4 linked regions of the Arabidopsis thaliana genome follow. The protein of the gene in region 1 interacts with the protein of each later gene in a pairwise test. Each region holds a gene or a part of one and is shown on either strand. Other genes may lie near its edges.

Region 1 (5,842 bases):
TTAAGGCAAACTCAAGACAGTCTTTGACAGTGAGCTTGCGCCCACTGTGTGAGCCAGCAGCATTGTCCACCACATACTTAGCAGAGTACTCAGTATAGACACTATCCAGCTTAAGTGCAAACCGTGCAGAGCTTATCAGATCAAGCGCTACAACAGCAGCAGAAGCAGATTCATCTGCAAAGACAAAAACACAAATGGAAACATGAATCAAAATCTGAACGTAATTCGCATGTTACCAAGATAAGAATATGATTTGAAAACATGATAAAACGTACAATGACAAGACACGTTAAGGGTCTAACACACAATATCTGAGAGAATCTAAAACCTATCATAGCAAACAAGTTATCATAGCCAACAAGAACAAAACTTAAGACATTGGTGTAAGAATATGAGCAGAATCAACCTAATGGGTAAAGTTTTGGCTTGCACTAATATTCAGGCTAAAACTAAAGCAATGAGGCAAAGCATTGATTCAACAACATACTAGTTCTACAGCCACAATTCACTCACATCTTGCAAAGCAGAGTAGCTATGTACTTTTATGAGTATGTTCTAGAGTGGCAATTTTACCGTAATCTTGGTGTTTCGCAATCGTGCCAAGAGAGAATGCAAATTTGAAATTGGGATCATAGGGTGGGAGTGCCATCTGCAATTACTTAACCCTGAAAATTTCCAAGGTCAATAAAATACATTAATGAAATGTGAACAGAGAAAATGGAAAGAACATTAACTAAGAAGGGATCCAAAGTGAAGCGGTTTGAACAAAGAGTTTATTGTTCAGAGGCAAGTAAAAACAGATCGATGAGACGTTTGTGGCAAATTCGAGAACCAATGTGATAGCTTATATACTAAAGAATGAGCAAACTACAGTAAAGGAGGATTAAACTCTAAAACCTAACGAAGAAGCTCCTCACCGTTCACTAATCACACTAAAAATAAAAGGCAATGCACAAGCAAAACCCGTAACATACCAAAGCAAGAGCTAAACAAATCCCAACAACTTAGAACAAAGAACCCTAAAAAAGACGACATTTTTATCGAAGAAATAGCAAAAGAAGATATTTTAATGACAAAAAGAAATGTGGCTAGATCGAGAACCAATGTGATAGCTTCTTTACCAAATAATGAGAAAACTAAAGGAGGATGTATTAAACGCTAAAACCTAACTAAAAGCTCCTCATTGATCACTGAAAAAGCAAAATGCACAAGCAAAAATCCGTAACAAACCCTAATACGTGACTAAAAGCTCCTCATTTGTTCACTAATCACACACTGAAAGGCAAAAACCGTAACAAAGCAAAACAAAATCCTAACTTAGAGAAAAAAACCTAAAATGTAACACTAATCGCACTTACAAAGGGAAACTCACAAGCAGAGGAAGCAGAGTAGTAACGCAAAGGAAGCTAAAAGGAATCGGTAGAACATTGTAGTATTTATAGACAAGAGAATGGGTTAATCGAAAAAACCCTAGAGAGAGGACAGATGTCATCATCTTGCGTTGTCAAACGTATCGAGGGCTGCGAGAATCGCTACTTTCTCCGTACAAGCAACTTTCATCACCTCCTTGCTATGTTTTTGTTTCGTCGTTTTCTTCCAACTTTTTTGAAGATGACCGTTGTGCCTTAGATGACGTCGCTTTAGTATTGGTCTTCATCTTTACCTGGCCCAAGACCATTCACTTGCTTCCAAAAGTTTCCCTTATAGTCATACCAATGGAAGAGTCCGTGAAACCTATAGAACAAGACGTTGTCTATCACACAACAAAACAACTATAGTACACTTCATTACTTATATTAATATATAATCCTACCGGGTTCCATCTACCTTCTTTGGGATTGTAAACCACCGCAGACTTATCTGAGTCATAACCAAAGAGGTAGAATTTTCCACCAAGTCCCAAGCTTTTGTGTTCAGCTACACTTTCATTCCGTATCACCGCGCTAGGGCTAGTCACAGAGCTCCAAGTGTGAGTCTTTGGATCAAACCCTTAAACCCAGTCCACAGAATTGCGATCTTCACAACCTCCTGCTACATATATCTTCCCCTCAAGTAGACTTACAGTGGAGGAAGAGGAGCTCCGGTCCACCCGCATGCTTAAAGTTTGGTTCTATGTGTGAGACTTCCAATCCAAGACAGAGACTCTAGAAGAAGAAGGCACATCCCCGCCAATTTTGTACATCTTACAACGGTAACCATATGATTCGAGGAATGCGATTGTGGAGGAGGAGAAGTGGGAGATGGTTGGATTAGGATTGGGACGTAAATTTTGCCACTTGAATTATTCTTCTTCATTCGGTTAGGTATTTGGCAGAGAGTGTACCAACGAGGGTTAGATTAGTGTCAGGAGGGAACCGTAAGCACAAATAGAGACAGCTCTCGGCGTGGCCTAGGAGAGAGCGGGTCTTGTAAAGCTCCGGTGAAGTTACGAGAGATCGAAAGCTCTTGGAGACTAAGGAAAGATTAGGATAGTACAATCTAGAAGACGTGTGCAATGCAGCCCAATAGCAAATCATAGGGAAGTGCCAGTTGCGTTGTCGTCGTCATTTTCTATCATAGGGTTTGATCAAACTTTTGATTTCTTCTACTTCTTCTTGAGAGAGTTGTCTAGGGATCGATCAATTTAGATATAGTTATCATTTACCAAAATACCGTTCATTTAATCTTAATAGGCCTCAAAACCTAAATCTGAAAATTCTTAGGTTAGAAATAAAGAGCCTTGGCTCACACGGTACATTGATTGATCGAATAATGGTTCACAAGTTTTGTGATTGGGTCACCAGATCGATCCGGCCTCCGATTACATTATTAGTGATTTTCATATTTAACTTTTGTATTCATTACTTTTATATTTTAATTTTAGGAACATGCTTAATAAAGGTGGAGTTTTTTTAAATATTCAAAAAAAAAGGTGGAGTTTTTGCTGTCAAAATAATAATAATCTAATTTTAAGAAAACGACTTATGTCACATGTAGTTTATGTTAAGAAGATTTATATGATTAAAATGTATTTATCTAAAATATTAGCAAAATAAAATCCACTAAATATTAATTAAGTAATAATTAAATGAAAAAATATAAATATAGCATCATGATATTATAATTTTGTTTAAATACAATTATAACTAAAACAATAAATATTAAAGATGATACTATCTTTCTTCAAAACATGTCATTTTAGTATTCAATGCTAGATTTTCTTCTGGTAATATATATAGATTATAGGTAGAAGAGATATACAAGTACATGCAAACAATATAATACTAGGAGAAGAGAAAATATGTCTGAAGAAAAATTCCCAGAACGTCCAGGCGAACCAGAGTGCAGCTATTATCTTAGAACTGGAAACTGTTATCTGAAACAAAACTGCAAATACCATCACCCGAAGAATATAACGCCGAGCGAGCCTCAATGTACTCTCAATGACAAGGGCTTACCATTAAGACCTGGTCAAGCCATTTGCCCGCATTACAGTCGCTTCGGCATTTGCAGATCCGGTCCGACTTGTAAATTCGACCATTTTACCTAACCATCATCCTCAACTTGCAAATGATAAATTTGAAACTGATATTCCTTATCTCGTGTTTATTTTCAATAATATTCTAATATCTATGTTTTATTTACTCTTTATATGTATGAAAGGATGTTATTAATCTAAGGATCAAGTTAATCACCATGGTATCAAATTTTCATTTCATGTAACAAAATTGGATTTTTCTTTTCAAGTTTACCCAACAAACAAGGCTTTGTCGTCTCCAAATTTTGGACTAATGGTACATAGTGAAAGCCTTAAGAATCAACCCAAAGGAGGGTCTTACCTTATTTTAGGAGCTTTGTCCATACCAGGAGGTACAAAAAAAAAAGATCACAACAACAGACAATAGATGCCAAACTAGTTTACAAGTGCAATTTATGCAAATGATGAGACTAAATGCTAATCTTTACTTTAGCCGAGTGAATAATTTGAAGTGAAATGAACCTACCAAAAATTTAACAACCTCTCATATCATGATCTTGGGAGTGGACACTTTAGAATCTTCCTTGGCTGTGTCACCTGGAAGAAAGAACATAAAACCAGTTAGTGAACACACAGCTAATCTCCGAAAGGCGGCTTCTAATCATGTTCATATCTATTTCCCTTCATGTTACACTCTAAATCATATCGATTCTAACCCCATTTCTCTTTGAATTCAATACGTGCGTCAGGTTTTCTTTATCAACCCCACCAATCTAGCCTAGTTTGTACTTGCACAGATGTAAATTGATGTATCAAACAGTGATACCTAACCACACATTCTCAAACCAGTAAGCCCTCTTCTGTTGTTAAATCTAGGGAAAGTATTTGTTTGTTCTACAAGTGACATATAGACAAACATGACTACTCTAGTTTGTATAGATATGTAATAAACAAACATCTAAGAGAACAATTCTATACAGATAATTGCTGATACAAGCAAAAGAGAGGGCTGAGAGTAATCACCAGATTGATTGGTTGTGGTGGTAACTTCACCATAGATGGCCTTAAGCGTCGACAAAGGAACAACCGCGGCATTACCCGCAGAGGCAGCTTCAGCAAAGAGCTGCTGTTTCCACTCCCACATGGTGAGTTTCATTGCCTTATTAGACTTGAAGAGTGACTCCTTCTGCTCTGCTAAGGCCTCAACATACTTCTGCTGTTTATCAGATCTCAATCCCAAAACCACAAACGATACTCCTAGACACGTGTTTATCACAGCATTGTTGTTCATTGCTTCCGAGAGAAACATTGCAATCTTGTTCGCCATTCCTGTGTAGTCAAATCCATCAGTCAAAGGAATACATATTAGCAACTATCAACCAAAACCATGCACTGTGAGCACAACAAACTCAGGTAAAGCTGAATATGAACACAGAGATTGTTGTATCTAAGAACATTCAAACATTAGTTAAATGATGAAATCACCAAATTTTGTTGGAATCGATAACAAATGGTGTCATTTTGGCTACATACTCTATATTATGTGGAGATGGTGATGCTGATTTTACAATTAGAGATCAATCAGATCGATCAATAAGCTAAACAACGAATCCAGGAAACAAATAATGAAATTGAAGCAAGAAAAACAAGGAATCTGGGAGGCTAAATCGGAATGAGTAACGAAGTTTAAGAACGAAGAAAGGCTCACCCGAAATGAAAGATGCGTTGACGGCTACGGCGGCGAGGTTTGATACGACGGCGACGAGAGAGAAATCGCTTCCGTTCCAATACTAAAGGTTGTTTTGGGGATATGACTGTAATTCTAAAACAATGTTAGGGGTATTTAGGTATTTCAACACTTTTGCCAAGTAAGTAAAGTACGCAACAGTGATCATTAAGATATTTGTTTTAAAAGTGTTAAAGACGATCATTCATCATCAACACTAACACTTTTTCAAATTGTCGTCTAAAGTCTCTAAAACCACCATCGAAGTCTTGACAGAGAGAATTCGAATCGGACAGAGAATTTCTTCCGTAGTTTTTCTTGTAAGCGAAAAAGGTAAATAAAAGCTTTTTCTTCTTCCTCTGTTACGAGTTTCTCTTTTTGGTACTTTCCTTAAATGTCAAAAACCCTTTTTTAAGAACCGAGGGTTTCGAATTTCAGGTTGATTTTGATGATTAAAGGGAATATCGTAATTGATTTCATGTTTTTCAAGTTTGAAATCTGTATCCTAGGTTAAAACCTCGTTGACTTGTGAAAAGTCTAGGTCTACGGAACATAAAATGTCTCTTTCTTGTTGTTGGTGTTTGAGATTTTGATCGGTTCATCATGTAGATGAACAATGAACTATGTACTTCTTCTGATATTTGGCTTTATTTATGTGA
Region 2 (8,007 bases), on another chromosome or scaffold:
CTTATTTGTTTTGATTCTGATATGTATGTCTTTATAAAGAAGATAAAAGGCTGAAGCTACTTCAACTTATAACTAACAGTCAGTTACGAGTTAGTACTAGTCTTGGGTTAGCTGAAGTAGAGGAGGTAACAGAATTATGGGTCATCCATAGTTTAGTTGGGTAAAAGTAGCTGGTAACTCTCTCGAAATAGGTCCTTCTGGTCTGTTTATTCGGATGTTGATGGCATACAGAGAATTTCTATTCTGGTTCTTATCAGATTCTTTGTCATGACTCATGACAGTGTATTTGTCACTTAAGGATATATATTTTTCAATTTTAGGGAGTTTTCATCTCAAGTTCAGGAGACCAAGCTCATTCTACTGGTGGCAATGGTGGGTTGTTTCTTCTCTGTTAGTTTTGAGATTGATCCTTTTGATTTGAAATTTCTATGTGAGATAAGTGCATATATACATATATGTTGATGAATTGGTGATAGCATAAGTCATCTCATGGCAATATGCTTACACTTGTTAGAGTTAATGGTTTCAAGAGTCAGTGATGATCTGGATGGGAAATTAAAGTCATGGTGATGTCAAAACTGAAGTTTCTTATAGTTTGCGCTGGTGTTAGCTTAGGTCTGCAAGGGTTTGTTCTTGATCTAGTATACTTGCCTTTCTGCAGGGGCTTTGGCATTTGATGCAGAACACTCACGATGGCTTGAAGAAAAGAACAGGCAAATGAACGAGCTGAGATCTGCCCTGAATGCTCATGCAGGTGATACTGAGCTCCGGATAATTGTGGATGGAGTGATGGCTCACTATGAGGAGCTTTTCAGGATTAAGAGCAATGCAGCTAAGAATGATGTCTTCCACTTGTTATCTGGAATGTGGAAAACACCAGCTGAGCGATGTTTCTTGTGGCTTGGCGGGTTCCGCTCATCCGAACTTCTCAAGGTAAGCTCTTTCCAAGTCCATAGAGAGATTTTGATGAACAGCCAACTTAATGAGTCGCAGTGTTTTCACAACAGCTTCTTGCGAATCAGCTAGAGCCCATGACAGAACGACAGGTAATGGGCATCAATAGCTTGCAGCAGACGTCGCAGCAGGCAGAAGATGCTTTATCTCAAGGGATGGAGAGTTTACAGCAATCCCTAGCTGATACTTTATCCAGTGGAACTCTTGGTTCCAGTTCATCGGATAATGTCGCGAGCTACATGGGTCAGATGGCCATGGCAATGGGGCAGTTAGGCACCCTCGAAGGATTCATACGCCAGGTACTTTAGAAATGTGGATGTTATCGAGATATACCATATCTTTTCATCGTCACAAAGAGATAAATATTTTATTTTATATATGAATCCGTCTGTTATGGAGTTCATAGGGCATTTCTTGGTGGCAGGCTGATAACTTGAGGCTGCAAACACTACAACAGATGCTTCGAGTATTAACAACACGTCAGTCAGCTCGTGCTCTTCTTGCTATACACGATTATTCATCTCGATTACGTGCTCTTAGTTCCTTGTGGCTTGCCCGGCCAAGAGAGTGAAACAGAAGAATAGTGCTCTACTCAGCAGTCAGCCCTATACATAATCTTATGACTCAGATCGGCAGGGATACTCCTTCCAAGAGATCGATCACAAAGCAAGGCATTCTCAGATTCTTACCAAAAGCAATATTTTGGGAAAGAAGACTGCAGGTTTTGAAATTGGTTTCCTGAGGTCCGCAAGACTCGAGTGTTGTGTGTGTTGTAATTTTTAGCCATCAGGTTGCATAGTTTTATAGAGTGAATGTTTATAGGTCTTTGAATATTCAAAGCGGATAGGTGATCAGTGTAAGGTCGCAATTACCAACATGACAGAAGATGGGATCCTTTCAGGAACTTGGATTGTATGATCATAAACTCCAGCAGACCAAATCAATTTATATTGAGAGTTCAAAAAAGAGAGCAGATTGTGTATCTTGAAATCATAGCAAGATTGCCCAGTAAACACTGTCACACATAAAGCTTACAGAGGTTTGGCTAATACTATGTATAACCAACCTGAGTCAGAGAAAATACTCATACAAATGAAAAGATCTAATTATTTCCAGGAAGAAGACTTCTTCCAAATGTCGAGAATACAATACTGGCAAGACATATGCAAACTTGAGCAAGAACTGAAGCAGCATAAACAGTACAGCTTATGTGAAACTCGAAAAGTAAACATCACCAGTTCAAAAGTAGTTGCTGGTGTAGAAATTCTTGAGAAAATCAGTCTTTCCTTGATCCTTGTTTCCAGTATTCTGCACGAGCCCTTCACCCACCACATATTGACCGATGATGTGGTGACGCTGCTTTGCGTGATCCACAATGTCAGTCAGCTCTTCCATTCCTTTGAATATAAGAAGATCAATTACCTGCAGAAGCAAGACCACCATCAGATTGCATTCTAAAATCACCTTAAAAGAGAACCAATCCGAGATCACTACACCCACACTCAAGGAGATGCTTTGAATTGATGGTTCAAAATACAAACAACTAACCATTCACCACATAAGCAAATCTTAACTTTGGTACCAAATGCCAACAATGCTGTCATACTACGAGAAAGAACACCATTTTGATATGAAGTATATAATTTTGTAGCAGGTTTACTGTATCGACGACAACAGACTCATCTATGAAAGAAAACAAATGCAAAGAAGAAAGGAACACAGCTTTAGCAGGATGTAACCGGTAAAGCTCCCACCTTTTCGCTCCAAGTAAATCTTCACCAAGCACCCAATTCACAAGACACTTTTTTGTTCATAAGATAAGACTACCAAGAAATTAAAAGTCTCCGCTCACATAAACTACTTGCACAAATTCTACACGATAGAAGGTGTAAGCTTTCAGCTTTCAACAACACTCAAACAAAGCTGACAATAAATCCAAGCCAAAAGTGGAATAGAAAGCAGATACGATCAGATTAACAAATATAAAACAGCTCATTGTTTGGTAGCCAACCAAGACGCATTAGCCAAACAAGGAAAATGCTTTCAATTTCGCCATCGCATAGGACCTGGGTCCGTATTAATCAGAGTTAAATTAAGGGAAAGTACCTTAGGATCGGTGATGTGAGCGTTATTCCGAATCTGAGCAGAGATAGCATAGCGGAGCTGAGAAGGAGCGACGACATCTTGAAGATTGTAAATGTCCATGATGGTGGGGATAGATCTACAGGCAGCTCTAAAGAAATCGAAAACACGGCGGCGAGCTTCCGTCAGGTTCGCCGAGTTCGGAGGAACACCGATTTTCCTCAACGCGAATGGTGCCGCCATTTTGATCTACGAAATCGAAAAATTTCACCTTCCTGCCTGAGATTAAAAGAGAAATGAGTAGCCGAATAGAGAAACAAACATCTGACTATCTGATTGCTTCCAGAGTTATCTGACGACGTCGTTTCGAAGTGAGTGGCTAATGGGCTTTTTATGGGCCTAAGCTGATGTAGAGAATAGCCGTAATTATTTCCGGTTAGTTTCGGTTTACAAAAAAGGGTAAGAAGGTAATTGTTTTTCTATCCCGCCGGGGTGTCTCCGCTTTCTTAAACCTCTCTCTTAAGAACTTGGCGCCGTTATCTTTCTCATGGCGGCGACAATGGTGAAGCACGAGATTCTCAACTACAGCGAGGATGAAGAAGAAAATTACTCAGACGAAGGAGATTGGGGAGACTGGAAAGCTGATGATAATGGTATAGAAGGAGGAGAGGAGGAGGAGGAGGATGATGGTGACGACTCGGAATCTGATTTTCTGTGTTTGTTTTGTGATTCTCACTTCGTTTCCTGTGATTTACTCTTCGAACACTGTCGTCTAAGCCACGGATTCGACTTTCATGGAGTTAGAAAGGAATTGAAGCTCGATTTCTACTCTTCTTTTAAGCTCATCAACTATATTCGCTCACAGGTTTGTGTTTTTGCTTCCTTCGTTTTTGGTTTCTCTAATTTTATTGTTTTTGTTTAAATTTGGTTCCTTTAATGAATTAGGTGGCTGAGAACATGTGTTTCAGTTGGAAGATTGAAGCTGATGATTACAAAGATGTTAAGTTTCCTTGGGATGAAGAGAAGTATCTGAAGCCTTTTTGGCAGGAGGATTCACTTTTGTACTCGTTTGCAGATGATGAGGAAGATGAAGAAGTCACGTTTGACAGAGAGGAAGTGATGGAGGAATTGCAGAAGCTTGGGGATTTAAGCATTGATGTCGAGGCTTTAGGGGAAAGCTCAATGTCGAACAGTGATAAATGCAATATAAATGGAAGTAAGGATGTAACTTCGCTCTCAAACTGCAATGGCCTAAAGCAAAGTTCTGCGGATGATTTGATAGTCAATGGGAAAGATGCAGAACCAAAGGTTTGTGATGGAAGGCTAGTTAATAGGAACATCAGAAAGGTGAATGAGAACTATTTTGGATCTTATAGTTCGTTTGGCATTCACAGGGAGATGCTAAGTGATAAGGTAATGCACTAATCTTTTCTGGAATTGTGTCATAATTAACTAACCTGCACTTGCACCATATGAAGAAAGACTATCAGCTGTCAGGTTTATTCAATGTGTCTGATGTCTGTAACAGGTTAGAACAGAAGCATACCGAGATGCACTTTTGAAGAATCCTACTCTCTTGAATGGCTCTGTTGTAATGGATGTTGGTTGTGGAACTGGGATATTGAGGTGAGTTTGCAGTTATCTTTCTCACTCTATATTGGCCATCTCATTTAGGTTTCTTCTCATTCTCTAAACGAAGCTTTAAACATGTGGTTCTATTTGCTTCTTTTATTTCATATTCTGAAGGCTTCCTTGAATTTCTCTTGCCTATATGCAGATCCTTTGATTGTTTAAGTCAAACTTTTGGTACTTCTTATTTTTAGTTTGCATGCAATAACCATTTATCCTTTGTCTGCAGTCTTTTTGCTGCTAAAGCTGGGGCTTCAAGGGTAGTTGCAGTTGAAGCTAGTGAGAAGATGGCCAAAGTTGCAACTAAGGTTACCTTTTTTTCTACTTGTTACAAGATTTTCATTATTTCTTTTTTCCTCATAGATATCAATTATTTACCTGGTTTCTAGCAGATTGCGAAGGATAACAAAGTATTCAATGATAACGAGCATAATGGGGTACTTGAAGTTGCACACTCAATGGTAGAAGAGCTAGATAAATCGATACAGATTCAGCCTCATAGTGTTGATGTGTTAGTCAGCGAATGGATGGGATACTGCCTTTTATATGAGTCAATGCTCAGTTCTGTGCTCTATGCAAGAGATCGGTGGTTGAAACCTGGAGGTGCAATCCTCCCTGACACGGCCACTATGGTAAAGCTTATCTTTTGCCCTTCAAATGTTGTCTTTTTCATGAAATCATCTTGATGAGTTTTATCCCTTGTTTTCTCCTTGGATCAGTTTGTTGCGGGATTTGGAAAAGGTGCAACAAGTCTTCCTTTCTGGGAAGATGTCTATGGCTTTGACATGTCTTCAATTGGGAAGGAGATACATGACGACACTACTCGACTTCCCATTGTTGACGTTATAGCGGAGCGTGATTTAGTGACACAGCCTACCCTTCTTCAGGTTTGAAAGATCACACATTATTTGGTTTCGCCAGGAAAAACTTTGAAATTAATTTCCTTGAATTTCTTTGTTTCTAGACATTTGACCTGGCTACCATGAAACCGGATGAAGTAGATTTCACAGCAACGGCAACGCTGGAGCCCACTGAGTCAGAAGCAAAAACTAGGTTGTGCCATGGTGTTGTGTTGTGGTTTGACACAGGTTTCACCAGTAGGTTCTGTAAGGAAAACCCAACCGTACTATCCACATCACCCTACACTCCCCCAACACACTGGGCTCAGACAATCTTAACTTTTCAAGAACCAATCTCAGTGGCACCGGCCTCGGTTCTGTCTGGTAATGACAGAAGAGAAGCCATCGGAACCGAAGAGTGTCCCGCCTCAAGCATTCATCTGCGTGTGAGTGTTGCACGAGCACATGAGCATCGCAGCATAGACATCTCGTTAGAGGCTACTGGGCTGAGCTCAAAGGGTCAGAAGCGTCACTGGCCGGTTCAGATATTTAATCTATGAATGTGATTGTAGCCATTGTAACACTCTTTTCTGGCAAATTTGCTGAGGATTTTTTCATAAGTTGCAAGGTTGTTTTAAATTTAACCTATTGAGAAAGTTTTGAGAAATATGCTGGAGTAGTAAGTTATTCTGAAATCGACATAAAGTGTTGTTTTGCGGCGTAAATTTATAGAGAGCTAAAAAGGTAAGACAGACAATTGTTCAGACAATTTGTTGGTTATAGTTAATTGCTTAACTGTACTGTATATGTTCCAAGTTAAGTAAATGTCACAAATTGTTTTTTTTTAAAGTGGAAAATAAATTTAGTAGATGGGACACCGAACACAGTTAGAAAGAGTGAACAAGAAAAAGACATTTATTAATGCTTATTAAGACTGACTTAACTAAGATAAAAAAAGAAAAAAGAAACAATAAAGGGATCCATCCGCTCATAGCCTGAGGTGATCACTATAAACTAGAAAGCTAAACATAAAAGCAAACTCTGCAACATAAGGATTTACAGATGCTATAACTGAAGAGAAGTTGGTGTAGCAAGTAGAGAGAGATATCTATGAATCTGTTGGCTCGGTTTTAAGGGGTGCGGCACCACCTGAGGACGATGCATCGCTTCCATTTTGGTTTTGATTTTGGTTTTGGAGGTTAAGGCTATTTGCTACCATGGAATCGCTGACCATCCCTGCTTCTGCGTCAAAGTTTAGCGTCCTCTTGCGGTTGCTGCTGCTGCTGTGACACCAGATGAAATTGGATTGGGTCAGTGATTGGTTTTATGGAAGAAGCTGATGAGAGACGTGATTTTTCTACTTACTTGTTCAAGCGGTTGTTGATGGCAGATAGGTCCTTTGAAGGGCTCTGGTAAGCATGTGTACTCTCTCCAACACAAGCATAGTAACTCTTTGTACTGTGTGAAATAAGAGCATCCATCTGCAAACACACAACACATGGAAGGTAACCAAACAATCTTGTCACCTACCTCCTCCTCAAGACTTAGTCATATCATGATAAAGAGTTAAGCACTATGATCTTCTTTACCTTTGATCCCCGAAGAGGAGAAACATAAACATTGTGCACTGCAGATACTTTTTTAGGGGACATGTCTGGAACACTTGGAAACACAGACACCTTTGGCGATCCGGGACATTGACCTGTGAATCCAAAATAAGACGATCATTTAACTTAGGGACTAAATTGATAGACAAAGCTTACATCTAACAAGTATCTGGCCTTTCTTAACTACCTTCAGGCTTATTATTGGCTTCCACAGCCCGGTCGTTTCTTACAGGACCTAGCTCCACCAGCAGCGGCTTTACGGCAGGAATAAATATTTCATTGTAGAATGTGATGATGTCAACATGATCTGGCCCTATTCTCTGTTCAAGTCATTGTCACAAATTTAGTCTTCTCCACCGAGTAAAGAAACTTTTCAGCATAAGGTTAAGAGTGTATATATACCCCTTGACGGCGACATTGTAACGCATCCACATAAACGCTGCGGAAAACTAATGGTTTACACTGTGGTTGCTTCCGGTAGTTGTATATGATTTCCCTGAAAGTCAGGCTCATTTGGGATATCTACAAGGTGATTCATGGAAAAAGTGTAAGTGTAAGAGAAGCCATTGTAAACCAGATGACATATAGTTAAACCCTTTGAATCACACTACTCACCTTGGCCACTCCGTAGAAGCAACAGAGAATGATCTGGTCAATGTGTCGACTGAATAAAAGAGAAGTCCGCTGAGCAAGTACATGTTGGAAGAAACAATACACACTCTCCCTTATTTGCTGTGAAAGTTGTAGTCTTTCCACCATTCCATTGATTCTTACAGCAGCCAATTTATTAATCTGGGAAGAGCCACCACATTTAACACAATTCCCAGCCGAAAATGAAGAATCAATACCGTGTTTTGTAGTACATCATCTAACCAAACGATTAGTAGTAGATCCAA
Region 3 (9,113 bases), on another chromosome or scaffold:
TAGGTACTAAATTCAAGTGGTCTGCTAATACCAGGACTAGCCATAGACACCAAAGTTAATGTGAGGTTAGTCGCGATTGAGCTCGGGCGACTACAAACTCTTGACCTTCAAGCACTTTAACAAGTGTTTACCTCTCTTGAGGACACTTCTACCTCAAGAAACCGGATCATCGTTTATTCGTTTATGAAATTAAGTTCTTGATTCGTTTTCACATATTTTATCTTCTGTTCCTTATAACATCCTCTTCCTCATGAAGTTGATTGGCACGATTCTGAAACACGGATCCTTATTTGGATTAGAATGCTGTCTCGAGGCCGTTTGAGAACTTGGGGGCATATTATGAATATCCCACAACAAATAAATAAGGGATGGTTTCTTATCTTCAACATCATTTTAATCCTCACCTCTAACTCAATATACATACACTCGCCTTTGGATGAAAAAGCAACATCACATGACAAAATCTTTCTACAACCCTTATCACTGCAAAATCTCGATCAGCCAGACAATTCTCACCACTTGGGTTTCAAGCCTTACACATCCATGTTGTTTTAATAAAATTCCAAACCATCCCCATTATTTTTGTAACTAGGGCTCCCCCATGAAGTTATTTTTGTGCAATATACTAACATTTAAGAAAAAAAACCTAGAAAATTGAAATGATACAATTATTATGAATTTACTAAAATTAGAGTCGCAAATCTAAGCGCGCATTACATCTATAGAGGCAGATAATGAAAAATATATGTAATTTTTTTTTGGGTTATATACTATTTTATGTTCAGCCAAGAAGGTGAAAAAGGAGCGATTGCTTAAAAATGTTTTCGTGTGGTTACCCGTGATGCAATGTAAAAAGAAAAAAGAAAAAAAAAAGAAGAGAAGAGAAGAACTAATAATTACGTGCACTTTAATTTACTGTAATACTTTATTGGAGTGCCTTGGTTCTTTTTCAATTTTTGTGGTCCATCTTAGCCAAAAGAGGAAATACTTTTATATAATATAAAATATTGTAACGCAAAGTATTGCTTAGTATTCGAAACACATTTTTTCAAATGATTTACGTCCCATTATTTCCCATGCAAACGGAAATATCCTCTAATGATTATTTCAAACACGATTATTACAGTACAGTCGAAATTACTTTCCCGGTTTAATCATATTCTGGCATATCTTATAACATATTTTTTGCAAAGGTATTCGCTTTTGTTTTTGTGACAAATTATTTATTAGGTTTTTAAATTATTACAAATAACTCTCACAGACGTATGTAATCCAACACATAAAATATATGGTTGATAAGAATTCACATCAATTTTGATTAATTTAGGGACTATAAATATGTTATATACAATAATTAATCTATGCATCTTTTTTAATCATTGTGATTGTTCTAGTTATAATAAAATATGGTTGATCACAATTCACAACAATTTTGATTAATTTATGGACTATAAATTTGTTAACATAATTAATCTAGGCATCTTTTTAAATCTTTGTGATTTCTCTAATTATATAATATGAACTGCAGAATTTGATTGTTCTCAATGTATAATCTTACGGGTCATACCATACCATCCATGCTTTGAGTTAGGGATGTCAAAATAGGTCAAAATTCATGGGTCAACTCAACTCAACTCAACCCATGAACCCTAATGAGTTGAAAATTTTGACTCAAATGAGTTGATGAGTCAAATGGGTTAATGAGTCAATTGGTTTGATGAGTAAAATGAGTTGGGTTGTAATGGTTAATGGTTTCAATGGTTTACCCAATTAACCCATCAAATTTTATAAAATTGAATTAAACCAACTAAAATCTCTAAACCAATGCCAATTTAAGTTTAACCAACACATCTAAACAAATTTAATAAAATTAATATTTTTCCAAATTTCTTAAATATACAAGCGATGAAATTGAGAAAAAATAAATTCGTAATTTTTCCACCAAAAAACATAAACCCGTGATTTTCTCGCCAAAAACGTAAACCCGTGATTTTCCCGCCAAAAACGTAAACCCTTAATTTTCCCGCCAAAAACGTAAACCCGTAATTTTCCCACCAAAAACGTAAACCCGTGATTTTCCCGCCAAAAATGTAAACCCGTGATTTTCCCGCCAAAAACGTAAACCCGTGATTTTCCCGCCAAAAACGTAAACCCGAGATTTTCCCGCCAAAAACGTAAATCCGTTATTTTTTCGCCCAAAACGTAAACCCATGATTTTTCCGTCAAAAACGTAAATCCGTGATTTTCCCGCCAAAAACGTAAATCCGAGATTTTTTCGCCGAAAAGCTTAAACCCGAAATTTTCCAGCCAAAAACGTAAACCCATCATTTTCCGGCCAAAAACGTAAAAAACTATAATTTTCCTGTCAAAACGTAAATCCGTGATTTTCCGTACCTAAAACGTAAACCTGTAAAAAATAAAATCCGTAAATATCTTAAGTTTGATGATAATGAATTAATAATGATAATTATTTATTATTGTTTTATAATAATAATTAATTAAATTATTACTTAAATGGGTTAACATCTCAAACCATTAAATTAAATGAGTTATAGGTTGACCCAACACATTTAACAAAATGAGTTGGGTCAACCCATAACTCATTTATTCTTAAACTCATTTGATTATAAGTTGAGTAGAGTTGGGTTATCCATTTTGATATCCCTACTTTTAGTACTATAGCTACAAGCCTACAACTATGGAGATTAGTGTGAATGTATGATTGTCGAATAAAAATAGAGTGACTAAATATTTTAAGCGTAAAAAGGTATTTATTCCAGCAAAAGAAAAGAAGAAAAACGACAAAAAGAAGACTTAAAAGTTGTAGAAATGTCAGTACGTATGTGAAAGACTGAGACACAGAACACTTTGTACAAGAACCAGTTCCAGTGTCACCGGTTACAGCCGGTCGCCTTCTCTTGATTCCCCAAAGCCTCTCCCACCAAACCCGGGACTTTTCACTTTTCATCAGTATTTTTTTTTGTTAAAGATTTTCATCAGTATTTTATATATATATATATATTATAAAGATCGAATTTGTTTGCATGATGAGGAAAGTATATCGAGTTACTATGTATCCATCGTTTGAAATACCCGTTTTAAAAAAAAATAATGAGATTTATTTTTAGGACTTCAGTATATATACGATTAACTTTTAACAGTTGTGTGACTAAAACGAAATGTAACAAAAATAAGAGAAAACTACAAAACAGGTAGTGAAAAATGACAAAAAAATTGTAGGACGCTAAGACGAAAAAATGATTCAAGAAAGAATATGTCTTTTCAATTTCAGTTTTACGAAATCGTGTAATAACGTAAATACTAAATCACGATTTCACAGAACCATATAAAATACTAAAATCCCACGCAATCATTAAACTTAATTCACCATTCTACGGATGACCTATGAGAGAGCATTGAATTGGCTTTAGTAACAAACACCAAAAAGATGAATCTTGACCAAATTTGTAATGCTCATACTAAATTCCTCCAAGTCTTATAAACATTAGATATTTTATATTTTAGGTTTTCAAAATATGTCATATAAAGAAAAATTTGATATACATATTGATCGTGCTTCAAAAAGACACCAAAAGAGCTTCTCTCTCTCTTAACCTCTCGTTTCGCCATTATCTCTTACACTGTTACTCTCTCTCTCTCTTCTTCTTCTTCTTCTTCTTCTGCATCTCATCGACATCATCCTTTCCCATGGCTGATGCATACGAGCCTTATCATGTTCTTCAACAAAGCCGGCGAGACAAACTTCGTATTCCATCTCTCGATTCCCACTTCCACTTTCACCCTCCTCCTCCTCCTTCCTCCGGCGGCGGAGGTGGCGTCTTTCCTCTCGCTGATTCCGATTTCCTCGCAGCCGGTGGCTTTCACTCCAACAACAACAACAACCACATATCTAACCCTAGCTACAGTAATTTCATGGGATTTCTCGGTGGCCCTTCTTCTTCTTCATCCACCGCAGTCGCCGTCGCCGGAGATCATTCCTTTAACGCCGGACTTTCTTCCGGAGACGTTCTTGTCTTCAAACCCGAGCCTCTATCTCTATCTTTGTCCTCTCACCCTAGACTCGCTTACGATCTAGTCGTTCCCGGTGTTGTTAACTCCGGATTCTGTAGATCTGCCGGTGAAGCCAACGCCGCCGCCGTCACCATCGCGTCTAGAAGCTCTGGTCCTCTCGGACCTTTCACGGGCTACGCGTCGATTCTTAAAGGATCAAGGTTCTTGAAACCAGCACAGATGCTTCTTGATGAGTTTTGTAATGTGGGTCGTGGGATTTACACCGACAAAGTCATCGACGACGATGATTCTTCTCTGCTTTTTGATCCGACGGTTGAGAATCTCTGCGGTGTTTCTGATGGCGGCGGAGGAGATAATGGAAAGAAAAAATCAAAACTCATCTCCATGCTCGACGAGGTATACAATAACATGATCAATTCTAATCTCTTTAAATTATTGAAATCTGTAAATTTTCTTTAATTATTGTCTATACTTTCTTACAAGTATGTGAATTATTGTGTTAAATGTTCACAGTTTTTGGTCGGTGTCCTTTGGAATTGGAGACAAAATGTGTTAAATGATATGTCTCTTAAAAAGATCTTCCTTGGAAAATGAAACTCCTTCAAAGCCATTTTAAAATTATATGATATTTTATTTAATTCATTATAATACCATATGTTAATTAAATTAATGTTCCCTACGTTTTGCATGAATAGATGATGTTATAGCGTCCATTTTAATACATTATATAAATTACAAGCTTGCCATCTTCATGCTGATTTTTAATAGAATTTTAAGGTTATACTAAAGTAAGGATAATATTATCTTGAGGAAGTAACTTTATATAGAGCTTCCTTAGCTCTTGATCTGAATTTGTGAATTAGATTCTTCAAATCTTAGGGGTATAAACATTAAGTGATAAAAAGAGAACGTCTTCTTTATGAAAGGAATATATGCATTATATGATCTTAAAGCTAGGGACTTAAAGATTTTAATTAGTTTATTCCGAGGTATATAACATACTTTTTGAGTGAGGAAATAATGTATAAATTTATAATCACCCATTTTATTATGTAAGTGGGGGAATCTAAAAACATTTCCATGTGACGTTTTGAAGGTTTACAAGAGGTATAAGCAATACTATGAGCAGCTACAAGCTGTGATGGGATCATTCGAATGCGTTGCAGGTCTCGGGCACGCTGCTCCGTACGCTAACTTAGCCTTGAAAGCATTGTCTAAGCATTTCAAGTGTTTGAAGAATGCTATAACGGACCAGCTTCAATTCAGCCACAACAACAAGATCCAACAACAACAACAATGTGGTCATCCGATGAACTCTGAGAATAAGACTGATTCTTTAAGATTTGGAGGAAGTGATAGTTCTAGAGGCTTATGTTCTGCTGGTCAAAGACATGGATTTCCTGATCATCATGCTCCTGTTTGGAGACCGCACCGTGGCCTACCCGAACGTGCTGTTACTGTTCTAAGGGCTTGGCTCTTCGATCATTTCTTGCATCCGTAAGTAACCCTTCTCGCCATATAAATGCTTTTGAAAGTTGTTGGATTCGAGTTTGAACTTGGTTCCAACAATTGATTAAACTAAATGCAAACGTTTAATTGATCATGAACCAAATTGTATATATATGCTTGTGAACAATAGCTTTATATGTGTGTGTCAGTGTGAATAAATATGTGTGTATCGAAGTGTATTTTTACTTGGAAGTATGTTTTAGATGGGACATGTCGACTGCTTGTTTGTTTCCCAAACTTGGAGATGTCGTGTTGCAAGCGTAATTATGTGTCTATATATATGTGTATGTTAGTATATACAATGATATATTAAATTGTTGTTGTCTGTGTCTTTTGTTGCAGTTATCCAACAGATACAGACAAACTCATGCTGGCTAAGCAGACAGGTCTCTCCAGAAATCAGGTTTCACTTCTGATATCTTCAGTCTTCTTCTTTTTTCTCTTTCCATCTTTTCTTGTTCACAATTTAACAAATTTCTTGCTAATTAAGCATGCACATAGTCACATAGATAAATATATGCTTTTATGAAATGAGTTTCTGTTGTCGGACAATAATTATATGTTTTAAATCTTTTCACATATATCATTAGTATAGTAACTATGTTATAATTTGGTTTATTAGGTTTGAATAAGTGTTACACTTTTGTTTTTGAAAATTTATCCGTTGGTGATAATGAATAATTTAGGGATTTTCTATCGCTTGAGGGTTATTAATTTATTATGGTAAAATGTTATTTTAGGTATCGAATTGGTTCATAAACGCAAGAGTTAGGGTTTGGAAGCCGATGGTGGAAGAGATTCACATGCTGGAGACTCGACAATCTCAGAGATCTTCTTCTTCCTCTTGGAGAGACGAACGTACTAGCACCACCGTCTTCCCTGACAACAGCAACAACAACCCATCTTCGTCCTCGGCACAGCAAAGACCTAACAACTCATCTCCGCCTAGACGGGCACGAAACGACGACGTTCATGGCACAAACAACAACAACAGCTATGTAAACAGTGGGAGCGGCGGCGGTAGTGCGGTTGGTTTCTCGTATGGAATTGGGTCGTCGAATGTGCCGGTGATGAATAGCAGCACAAACGGAGGAGTGTCTTTGACGTTAGGGCTTCATCATCAGATTGGGTTACCGGAGCCTTTTCCGATGACAACTGCTCAGAGGTTTGGGCTTGATGGTGGTAGTGGCGATGGTGGTGGTGGGTATGAAGGGCAAAATCGTCAGTTTGGGAGAGATTTTATTGGTGGTAGTAATCATCAGTTTCTACATGATTTTGTAGGTTGAGATTATTTGTGTGGAAAGGAAAAAATATGTTTGACGTTTGGGTATGTATAAGAAGATATGGGGGAATTGAAATGCATATGATGTGTATATTAGAATGTTTCTTCTTCTTTTTTTGTTGTTTGCTTACTTTCACAAATGTTATCTTTTTAAGAAATGAAATTGGATTCAATAACCAATGTTAAAAACATGGGTTAGACTTTAGAGTTGTCTATGTCTTGGTGAAATATAAAAGGCATCTATCATTGTTTTAATATTTTGGCATGATTCAAAACATGGTGCTTTTTTTTTTTTTATGTATGTCACAATTATCGTTGAAGAACGCGATTAAGATGTTTATCATTGATCGTTGATATTATATTTTGAACTATCTTGTTTTACTTGATAGTAAACATTGACTAAACAACATGTTTTCAAACCCTAAACCTTGAAATATTTCAGACTATTTGAGTTATCTTTTTGAGTCGGATGCAGTTTTGACTCCGATCCGCTCAACATTGTTGAATTCTTCTACTCATAAAAGAAGTTTGAGCCGATTTCAAACACACAAAACAAATGAGTTCGGTTTAATGTTCAGTGTGTACTAATACGTTGGCTTTTGAAGATCACATGAGAGCAAAAGTATTGAAAATAAAATTGTGCTTTTGTTGCTTCAAATAACTTTCCATTTGCTTTTGGAAAACAAGAAAGATATATATATATATATATATATATATATATACATAACCTTTCCCTCTCATGGGAAAAAAGTAAATCTTTTTCTTTGTAGAATTTATTCTCCGATCCTAACCATTTCTCAGCCTTTTTGTTTGTTTACACCATTTTTGTTTATATTCTTGGATTATGTCTATATAGAATAAGATGTAAACATAAACTGTATTAGCAAATATGTTTTGAATTATATGAAATTCAATAATTGAGAAGAGGTTCATGTAATGAGCCGAGAGAAGAATATAAAAGCAGTCAAATAATTTTTTCAAAAAACTATTTGTATATTAAAAAGGTACAAAGTAAAAAATAAATTTAAGAAGGTGCCATCATTGGCTCCTAAAGAACAAACTACAAAGAATCAATTTCTCATGATTTGATCTCTCACAATCCGTCTCCTTTATGTGGATGCGGAAAAACACTCTCCACACGTTTCATGTAAAAATTTTAGTTAAATTTCTAAAAACAATAGAGATACTATTCGATTTGTTCTTGAATTATTCATGAATACATATAGTGGCAACCTTAGACACTAGCCACGTCAACCGTACATGTTATATCATATATTTTTATATTGGTCTATCTATATGCTGAACTAGAGTCTAGAGATAAATATGAGAACATATAAGAAACCATGGACAACTAAAGATATTGTCTTTCTGTGTGAGTATTTGTTCCAGAAGCATTAAACCTTCGGAATAAGTATAATTCTTTTGCACCATTACTATTTTTATAAGCTTCACCAGCTCTATATATATTCTCACCATTAACATAAAACAACAACAACACGAAGAAGAAGATGAAGGTACTTGATGATGAACGGGTAATCTGCATCCTGAGGTTTAAAACCAATTAAGCATATACATATGCGAATGTATAGTTTTTAATCCTCGGGATACAGTTTACCTCTTCCTTACTCAAGAAAACACTTAGCTTTAACGGTTTTGGAGAAAGAAGAAGCATCGAATTAAATCCATTTGAAACAGGTTAGTTATCTTAGTGAAGAATATATCCATCAATCATAATTTGGTCTAGTCATTCGAAGTGGGATATGATTTGATACATATAGTCTAAAATATGATTTTATGCCAGTAATATTTTGTTTTCCCTGTCCCCTACCTATATCTAGAGCTTGAGATCCTCCTTTTAAAACTTTTAGATGATTAATCGTTTTACAAATCATAGTCCCAGACTTTCGTTCCAATCTAGATCGGTTTAGATGCGTTTTGTTTTGGAATTTATACAACGAAAACCAAAGTTTAGATTAAAAGATTCGAAAACCGGATTACATAAAATCTGGTCCAGGACCCCTTTGGTTAACGAAAACCAGACTAAAGGGCAGAAACGTCATTTGACAAAAAGAAGGATGATTCTCTCCTTCCTCTTTCCCCAATGCAAAGAAAAAGCATTATAGACTTTTCAAGTTTTCCGATATAAGCACGAAATCGCTGTTTCTCTCTTCGACGAAGCTTTGATAATTTGATCTCAATCGATCGATTCTATTGAGAATTTGTGTACCTGTTTTCTTATAAGGTTAACTAAGGATTGTGGAATCAGAAGTGTTGTGTTTTTGTGATCGGA
Region 4 (7,330 bases), on another chromosome or scaffold:
ATTTGATTCTTAAATCAAAAACTATGATTTATAATTGTAATTTATGTAAAGTTGAAACCTTTTCTCAACAACTCATTCCCACTCCAAATCAGAACAGAGGTTCAACTACTACTATTTATCATTCTTAATAACTTGTGTTAGTGTGATTTGATTCTTAAATCTTGTTTTATAAATGAAATTAATGTAAAGTTGATACCTTTTTCCATTCCAAATTAGAAAGAGAGGTTCCTGCAATCACATCTCAATGAAGAGCAATATAAAACTTAACATATCGAATTCGAATCGAGTATAAAGACTATGAAAGAAGGAGAAAGGTTTTTCATTGAAGATGAAGAAGATACATACATACAACAAAAAGGTTCACAAAGATACAATACCAGAAAAAAGAAACAAACGTTCTTCTGATATTCACTTTTTTCTTGCTACTGTGCACTCAAAGATTCTCTTTTTTAGTTTTTTACCACTCTTGAATCCTAGGACAGATCAATCTTTCTACTTGCAAGTGTTTTCAGAGATTCCTCTTCTGTGTTTTGGTGTTCTACCTTTGTCTTCCTGCTTCTGTTTCCCCAGCCATCTCGGGTTTGAAGCAAAGACATAGAAATGGTTTCTTACTCGTCTTTCTCTGCTGAATAAACACAGCTAGTGTCAGTATTCATATTACTAATGGAAATGAGAAAAGGCTTCTTCTCATGATTTTGTTAAAAGTCGAAATCTTACCTTCTTTATAGTCAGCTTTTGATCTTGAGTTTTAGTGTTTCCCATCAAACAGCTACATCACAACAACAGTATACAATTAGGATAGGAACATCAACTCAAATACACATTGACTCAAGAAGAGATAACAAATCAGTCTTACCTCAAGAAACCGAATCTAGGACGAACTGGTTTTTCGCTTTTCGTCAACGAACTATGAGTTATCGGTTTTCCACTGCAAAATTACAACATAAAACAATCAGATGGAGGACAAATTCTAGACAAAACAATCAAAGCTGCTTTTGTTACCTTATTTTCAGTGAGAAAACAAGCTCCATTGCTTTGTCCGGAGTTTCAGAAGTTGCTGATTTCTCTATAGACAATCTAACCACCGATGAGTTCTTGGTTACGGATTTTCTCTCTTCTTCTTTCTCTCCAACGAAACAACTCTTCTTCACCAACTCTCCATCCTCAGAGTGATTATCTTTCTCTTTATCATCATGAATAACCTGCAAATCATCTTCTTGTTCCAAAACCGCAACATTTGTTCTTACTGGCTCATCATCTTTCTCAATACTCAACACCAACTCTTCACTACTACTCAAGACTAACTCAGTTTCATCACCCTCTTCTTCCTTAACCTCATCCTTAGTCAATGTCTCCAAAGTGTTAAGCAACACCGCAACACTTTCTGGTTCTTGTTTAGGGTCAGAATCAGATGATTGATCTGAAGCTTTTGCTTTCTTTGCTTCAGCTATTTTCTTGTAATGAGCTTCAAAGAAAGCTTTCTTCTGAGCAACAGATCCAGGCTGAGAGAACTTCTCAGCTTCATCGACATACTTCTTATGCGAAAAACTTGACCATTTCCCCCATTCAAGATTCTCTGTCATGAATCTACCAAATGAAACTGATTGACTAAGCGCATGCATCGTATTATCCTGCAACAATCCAACATATCAAAATCAGAATCTTACCAAAACTCAAAACCAAAGTTATAAACTTTCTGGTGAATCAAACTGTTTCCAATCAAACCCAATTCAGATACTTTGAGTAAAATCAACATCAAGATTCATATCTATCAAGCTAAACCCTAAAGTTTGAAACTTTACATTCAAAATCTCCCAGAAACCATCGAATTTTCCCAGGAATCATAGAGAGAATGAAACTAACCTCATGAGATTCATTACGAGAAGGAGGAGCTGCGAACGAATAGGAATGAAACAGAACAGCAGATTCAGCCATTGGCCACAAAACCTCAAAATCGAGAACTTCTTCGTTGGAATCTCAAAAGGAAATAAATAAAAATCGAAGCGTTTTAATGGGTTTTCTCACCGAAACGGCTATAAAAGAATTTTTTCGAATTTTAAAAACTTTTATTTGTCAGCCCTAAACACATGTTTTAGGAGACGATCTGAAGAACTTTGGTTGAGATCTGGGTCCCACGAAACAGATAAAACTCAGAATATCTTTTTAAATAAAGAAGATACTCAATTTTGAGTTTTTATTTGAAAATTTGATAGGAATTTGAGAAACTGAGAATAAATTATGTATCAAAGAAGTCTAACAAGAATGAATGATTCTGCTATAGTTGTTGATATGAAGTGGCTGAGAATTGCAACAAGAGAGAAAACGAATTTTTTCTGGTGATGAAATATTAAAATGTGAAATGCTTTTTGGGAAAAAAAACTCTGTAATTTAAACTGAATTCTGAGTAATTTTTTTTTTTAATTTTTAGATATATCAACGCGTTTAAAAACTATTTTAGTTGTTTTAACTAAAAAAAATGAATCTGATTTTCTATTAAAAAAAACTTTATATTAGTACTTATATGCTTACATTTGATTTTTTTTGGTTAAAAAAATGAATCTGATTTAGGGTGTGAATATTAGAGTCATTAGAAAGACTAAAGAAATAAAATTGTAGATAAGTTTGGAGAAAAGTAGCCAAAAAAGAAAGAAGAAGAAATAAATACGATTTATTAGGGAAAACTAATTAGTAAGTGATTAGCGTTGGTTTATGTAACGGTAGGTGTACTTTTGTAACTCCAAATAAAACAGCTTTGAGTTACAAAAGTGATGTTGTTAGAATGAATACATTACACTTCAACCCATCACAAAAGCAACTACTTTTCTTCCTTTGCATCCAACAATTATTTAATCATATAGCTGAAAATATTGATTGCTTCTCTCCCATAAAAATAAACAAAAATGTATATTAACTCTTTTAGCGTTTTACTTTAAAACTTTTTTTGGTCAAACAAAAGATTTTATCATCGCTTTTATATCTCATAAACAAAATGTATTAGATTATTTGTCATCGTTGAAACTTTAATTCTTTCTCCTTCTTTAGAGATTAACCAAAACCAAGTTGAAGTTTTGGTTCGTTTTTTTTAATTCATATTTCTAAATTTCAAAGATTTTATTCATTATAGAATTAAAAAAAAAATTGACAAAGTAATAGTGAAAATTTCAGAGTAAAGCCTTAAATAATTATTTAAAAATCCAACATTTGGTGGCCTTTCAAAATATTTAGAAGTTTTGGAAAAGGGTATAGTCCATTATTCAAAAAAAGATTAAAAAATCAATTGAAGAGAAAATAGTTTAAAGCATTTAAAGGTTTGAATGAATTCTAACCAAATGTGTACAAAAAAAATTCATTATTGTATCTTCATATTTTTTAGTGAAATTAAATAACATTGGATTTTTTCCTTGAATACAAAAAACATCCAAATCCATTAAAGACTAATATTCAATAACACCACCTATAAATTCTTATGTTTTGAAAATAACCCCAAACTATTTTTCTTTCTTAACCCTTAAAGTTTCATTTTTCATATATTACACCAAAATTTGAAATCATCTTCTTTGATTGTTTTTGGTGTGAGCGAAGATGGGAAGATCGAATTCTCAATGCCCATCTCATTGGATTCTCCTCTGCTTCTTCATCTCTTCTCAGTTTTGGGGATTCTCACTTCCCACTTCGATAATTCAACAAAATCTCGAGGTGAAATTTTTAGGGTTTTTCAGCAATTTCAACTGTAAATTTCGTGTAGAAGAATGTCTGTATCACTTTAGGGTTTGTAATCGATTTGGCTTACTTGGGATTTACTTAGAATTCTAGATTTTGTTCAAATTTTGAAGCTTTGTGGTTGTTGTTCTACAGGGTTTTAAAGATCCTGAAGACGGTTTTCATGAGATTCATTGTTCAAGAGAACGTAGCAGAGTTGCTTGGAAAATCATTCAAGAGGTATGAATTGAAAGCAGTGGTTTTTATTATTTTTTATGCAAATCTGTAGAGTTTTCTCATTGATCTTTGTTGTTGCTGTGAAGTATCTCATGCCGTATGTGGAAAAGGAGCGGTATCAGTTACCGAGTACTTGTAGAGTTCATCGAGACAATGACATTTATAGAGAACAAGAAGAGCACAAATTGCGTTCAGATATTAATGAGTGGCGTTGTGGATTCTGCAAAAAGGCTTTTTATGAAGAGAAGTATCTCGATAAGCATTTCGATTCGCGCCATTACAATTTACTTAATGCGGTATATACTGATGCATTATTGTTAAAATGATCCATCTTTCTGTGACAATTCATACTGTTTTGGGGTCTATTAGCGATTCATAACTTATGTGCTTTTGAATCCAGAGTCATGGTAAATGTCTGTCGGATCTTTGTGGAGCGTTGCATTGTGATCTTGTTGTAGACACAGCTCGGCTTAAGTCCAAGTGTAATCCTGCAGCTGCTGCAAAAAACCGGCACTTATGTGAGGTACATATTTTTTTAGTTTTGATTCGGTCAATATCATATGACAAGTTTGGACTCTAATACTCAAAGAAACCTTGTAGCTTCTGAGAATTGCAAAGAACATTTCACTGAAAGATTTGAACACTTCTGAACATATTGTCTTCGTTCTGTTTCTTGTGTTCCCGTGCTTATCTGCTCTGGTGTGGTTGCATTGCAGAGTTTGGCTAATAGTTGTTTTCCGGTAAATAAAGGTTCATCAGCCAACCGTCTTCACGGTATTAGAACCTTCCTGAATTTTACTATCTTATTTCAACAGTTTTTGCTTGTATTGATCCATAAAGATTCACCACTACTTTTGGGGTTTAAACTTTACAATTGTAGACTTCTTCGTGGGGGGTTTTAATGATCCATAGAGATTCACCACCCTTTTTTGGGGGTTTTAACTTTTAAAACTGCAGATTTCTTCTTGCGTCAGTTCTGCGATGCACATACATGTTCAGGAGGATCAAAGCCCTTATCTCAAAAACCAAAGGTAACATAATAAACCCTTTTTTTGTAAATGATATTATATCATATCATATCTCATTTAATCTCAGTCATATGTTTTGCAGAAGAGGAGTATAGTGTACATTATTTTCTCCATCATCGTTTTGGTAGTGCTTCTTCTCTATTACAGCTTTGTCTATTTGTTCCGAAGGTAACAACAACATTAAAATACTGTTTCAGATTTCCTTACAACTCTAAAACCGAAAAAGGCCCTCATGAACTCATTGTTCTTACGTTTTACTAATCTGTAGAGGATTAAAGAGAAGATCTCAAGATTTGAAGCGTATTAGACACAATGGTCTGAAGAAGAAACCCTTCTAACCATATCAAGCTTTAGCTTTAATGGCGGCTGAGAGAGAGTACATTTTTTTTCTTTGCAAGATGATTACAATTAGGATCAGATTAGTGCATTTTGCAACATCCCTTACAATTATATCACTACTTACACCAATATTGTTACTTAGAATTCAATAGTGTTTACTGCAACTAGAGCGGTACAATCGCATTTAACATTTCTAAAACATTTCAAAGGTTCAACTTAATTTCATTTTTCATATTTGTTAGTATCATTCTTAATTATTTGGTTTAGACTTTTGAGTCTTGATCAACCATGATTATCTCGATCATTTTATCAATTGGGCCGTTTGATGAAAGGCCTTTTGGGCCAAATTACAAAACAGATATCTTTGGAAGAACCAAAACGACAACGTGGGATAGACGTTAGAGATGACGTGAAGAAAAAAAAGGAGATAAGTGGAACCTACTTTTTCCCAGTATAAGTCCAATATCACTCAAAGTCAGGACACTAATCGAATCATAGCCTCGTCTCTTTCAATCTCAACTTCAACGATAAACAAAAAAACAAAGTGGATAAATTCAAAGCACTTAAAATAGGTAAATAAATAATGACGTGAAATATAACAAGCAAGGTATCCTAACTTTTCTTTTGCTTTTTTTCTTCTTTTGGGCAAATCTCATACATGTTCCTGCATATTTTAAACACTCTTCGAATGTTTTATCGAAAAATTAAAAACATTCTTAATTAGGATGAAAATTACTACGACAGATCACACTATACGGTACTATAACGTGGATAATTACTACATAGTATTGTATTATTGAGCTTGTATAAGTATTTGTGACAATAATACCAAAGAGTTTTAGATATTTTATTGGTTTTTCTAAGGAAATACAGATAGATAAACCTGTCGAACCGGTTGATTTAGCACAATAAGCGGTCATGAAACGTCTTCTACATCAAAGTTCGTAAATTTCCATGAAACGTCTTTGAGCACCGAGGAAGAAAGTTTAAAATTCCTAAAGAAACACACAAATTAAAAAAGGCAAAACCTAAACCCCATATTTATTTGTCTTTTTTTCTTTATCAGAGAATTTTAAAAAGGTAAAAATAGATTATATTCTATTCCTTCAGAAAATTTTTATCGTCCTAAAATCTTCGTAGCCTGCAACAAAGAAAGACTAAGAAAGAACTAAAATATTTTGCTTCGTCTAATTACTTTTTTCCTTTGGATTTAATTCTCAGCCATCGCCGCCGTTTTCGGCGGTGTAAAAAATGAAGAACCGTAGGAAACGCGGTGGTTTAAGCAGTGTCGACGTCGTTGTTTCATGGAGAAGATTTTTCCGATTTGTTTCTTTGTTCGTCTTCTCCTTCGTTCTCTTCTCTGCTTTCTTCATCTTCTTAGGTATTAATCCAACAATTAATCACAACCGTTTTAATTTATTTATTATTACTTAATACTAATTAATATTTGTATAAATCAGGCAAAATTCGACCGGTGGTGCGGTCTTCGGTCAACGCAGTTCTTCGTGGTTCTGTACCGGTGGTTAAGGTGATCACGATCCATGAAGCAGTTGAGTTTCCCGACCAAACATTGATTTTCCTAAAATACCCTCCATCTTCTCGGTTTTTTACGAAAGAGGACCTCTTTTGCGTTTTCTCCGACGTAAACGATTCGTCTAAACTTTTTAAAGAGCTTCCTTTCGCGGTGGAAACCGACGACTATGGCCGTCAGATCGTACGGTGTTCCGCCGTGCCTCGTGGCAATACTGTATCCCTCGCCGTTTCGAGATGGAGGGTTGATGATTATAATCTCCAAGTAGGGCTCACACACCGATGGGATTGGCTGGTGTACGACGCCGTGATCGACGACGACAATTCCACGGTGGTTTTTGTCAAGGGGCTTAATCTACGGCCAGGAAAGGTTGCTGACGCGTCGAGATATGAGTGTGTATACGGTTGGGATTTCACAAAGCCCAAACTTTTGCTTAGAGCACAAGCTATCTCTGCGGCCCAAGAGATCGTACGTTGTAAAACGCCACTGACAGTAT

Evidence for each region.
Region 2: the proteins of AT1G48195 (region 1) and PRMT3 interact in a two-hybrid assay, tested with the Arabidopsis thaliana proteins (one large-scale study listed by BioGRID).
Region 3: the proteins of AT1G48195 (region 1) and RPL interact in a two-hybrid assay, tested with the Arabidopsis thaliana proteins (one large-scale study listed by BioGRID).
Region 4: the proteins of AT1G48195 (region 1) and AT5G40710 interact in a two-hybrid assay, tested with the Arabidopsis thaliana proteins (one large-scale study listed by BioGRID).

Annotation. Positions count from the first base shown.
Region 1 is NC_003070.9:17,793,069-17,798,910, forward strand, and holds AT1G48195 (Zinc finger C-x8-C-x5-C-x3-H type family protein), read left to right. Parts: upstream 1-3,266; 5' UTR 3,267-3,280; coding exon 3,281-3,529; 3' UTR 3,530-3,716; downstream 3,717-5,842. Other genes in the region: AT1G48180 (target of trans acting-siR480/255 protein), read right to left, coding at 1-174, 574-649; AT1G48190 (Galactose oxidase/kelch repeat superfamily protein), read right to left, coding at 1,492-1,553, 1,664-1,753, 1,828-1,989, 2,026-2,095; AT1G48200 (uncharacterized protein), read right to left, coding at 4,002-4,054, 4,481-4,784.
Region 2 is NC_003074.8:3,907,059-3,915,065, forward strand, and holds PRMT3 (protein arginine methyltransferase 3), read left to right. Parts: upstream 1-3,422; 5' UTR 3,423-3,583; coding exon 3,584-3,901; intron 3,902-3,981; coding exon 3,982-4,449; intron 4,450-4,564; coding exon 4,565-4,662; intron 4,663-4,894; coding exon 4,895-4,973; intron 4,974-5,057; coding exon 5,058-5,297; intron 5,298-5,384; coding exon 5,385-5,552; intron 5,553-5,629; coding exon 5,630-6,064; 3' UTR 6,065-6,318; downstream 6,319-8,007. Other genes in the region: TGA6 (TGACG motif-binding factor 6), read left to right, coding at 321-372, 662-933, 1,008-1,253, 1,379-1,525; AT3G12260 (LYR family of Fe/S cluster biogenesis protein), read right to left, coding at 2,194-2,376, 3,061-3,279; RBR1 (retinoblastoma-related 1), read right to left, coding at 6,613-6,787, 6,870-6,985, 7,094-7,206, 7,299-7,431, 7,514-7,633, 7,727-7,903. UniProt on the Arabidopsis thaliana protein: Protein-arginine N-methyltransferase that catalyzes both the monomethylation and asymmetric dimethylation of the guanidino nitrogens of arginine residues in target proteins, and therefore falls into the group of type I methyltransferases.
Region 3 is NC_003076.8:392,046-401,158, forward strand, and holds RPL (POX (plant homeobox) family protein), read left to right. Parts: upstream 1-3,521; 5' UTR 3,522-3,708; coding exon 3,709-4,428; intron 4,429-5,128; coding exon 5,129-5,529; intron 5,530-5,883; coding exon 5,884-5,944; intron 5,945-6,281; coding exon 6,282-6,827; 3' UTR 6,828-7,080; downstream 7,081-9,113.
Region 4 is NC_003076.8:16,291,509-16,298,838, forward strand, and holds AT5G40710 (zinc finger (C2H2 type) family protein), read left to right. Parts: upstream 1-3,458; 5' UTR 3,459-3,582; coding exon 3,583-3,696; intron 3,697-3,855; coding exon 3,856-3,939; intron 3,940-4,022; coding exon 4,023-4,232; intron 4,233-4,336; coding exon 4,337-4,459; intron 4,460-4,652; coding exon 4,653-4,710; coding exon of another isoform or gene 4,711-4,838; exon of another isoform or gene 4,839-4,893; coding exon 4,894-4,967; intron 4,968-5,046; coding exon 5,047-5,132; intron 5,133-5,232; coding exon 5,233-5,302; 3' UTR 5,303-5,536; downstream 5,537-7,330. Other genes in the region: AT5G40700 (transcriptional regulator ATRX-like protein), read right to left, coding at 539-625, 718-769, 857-928, 1,003-1,631, 1,864-1,935; AT5G40720 (C3H4 type zinc finger protein (DUF23)), read left to right, coding at 6,555-6,684, 6,764-7,330.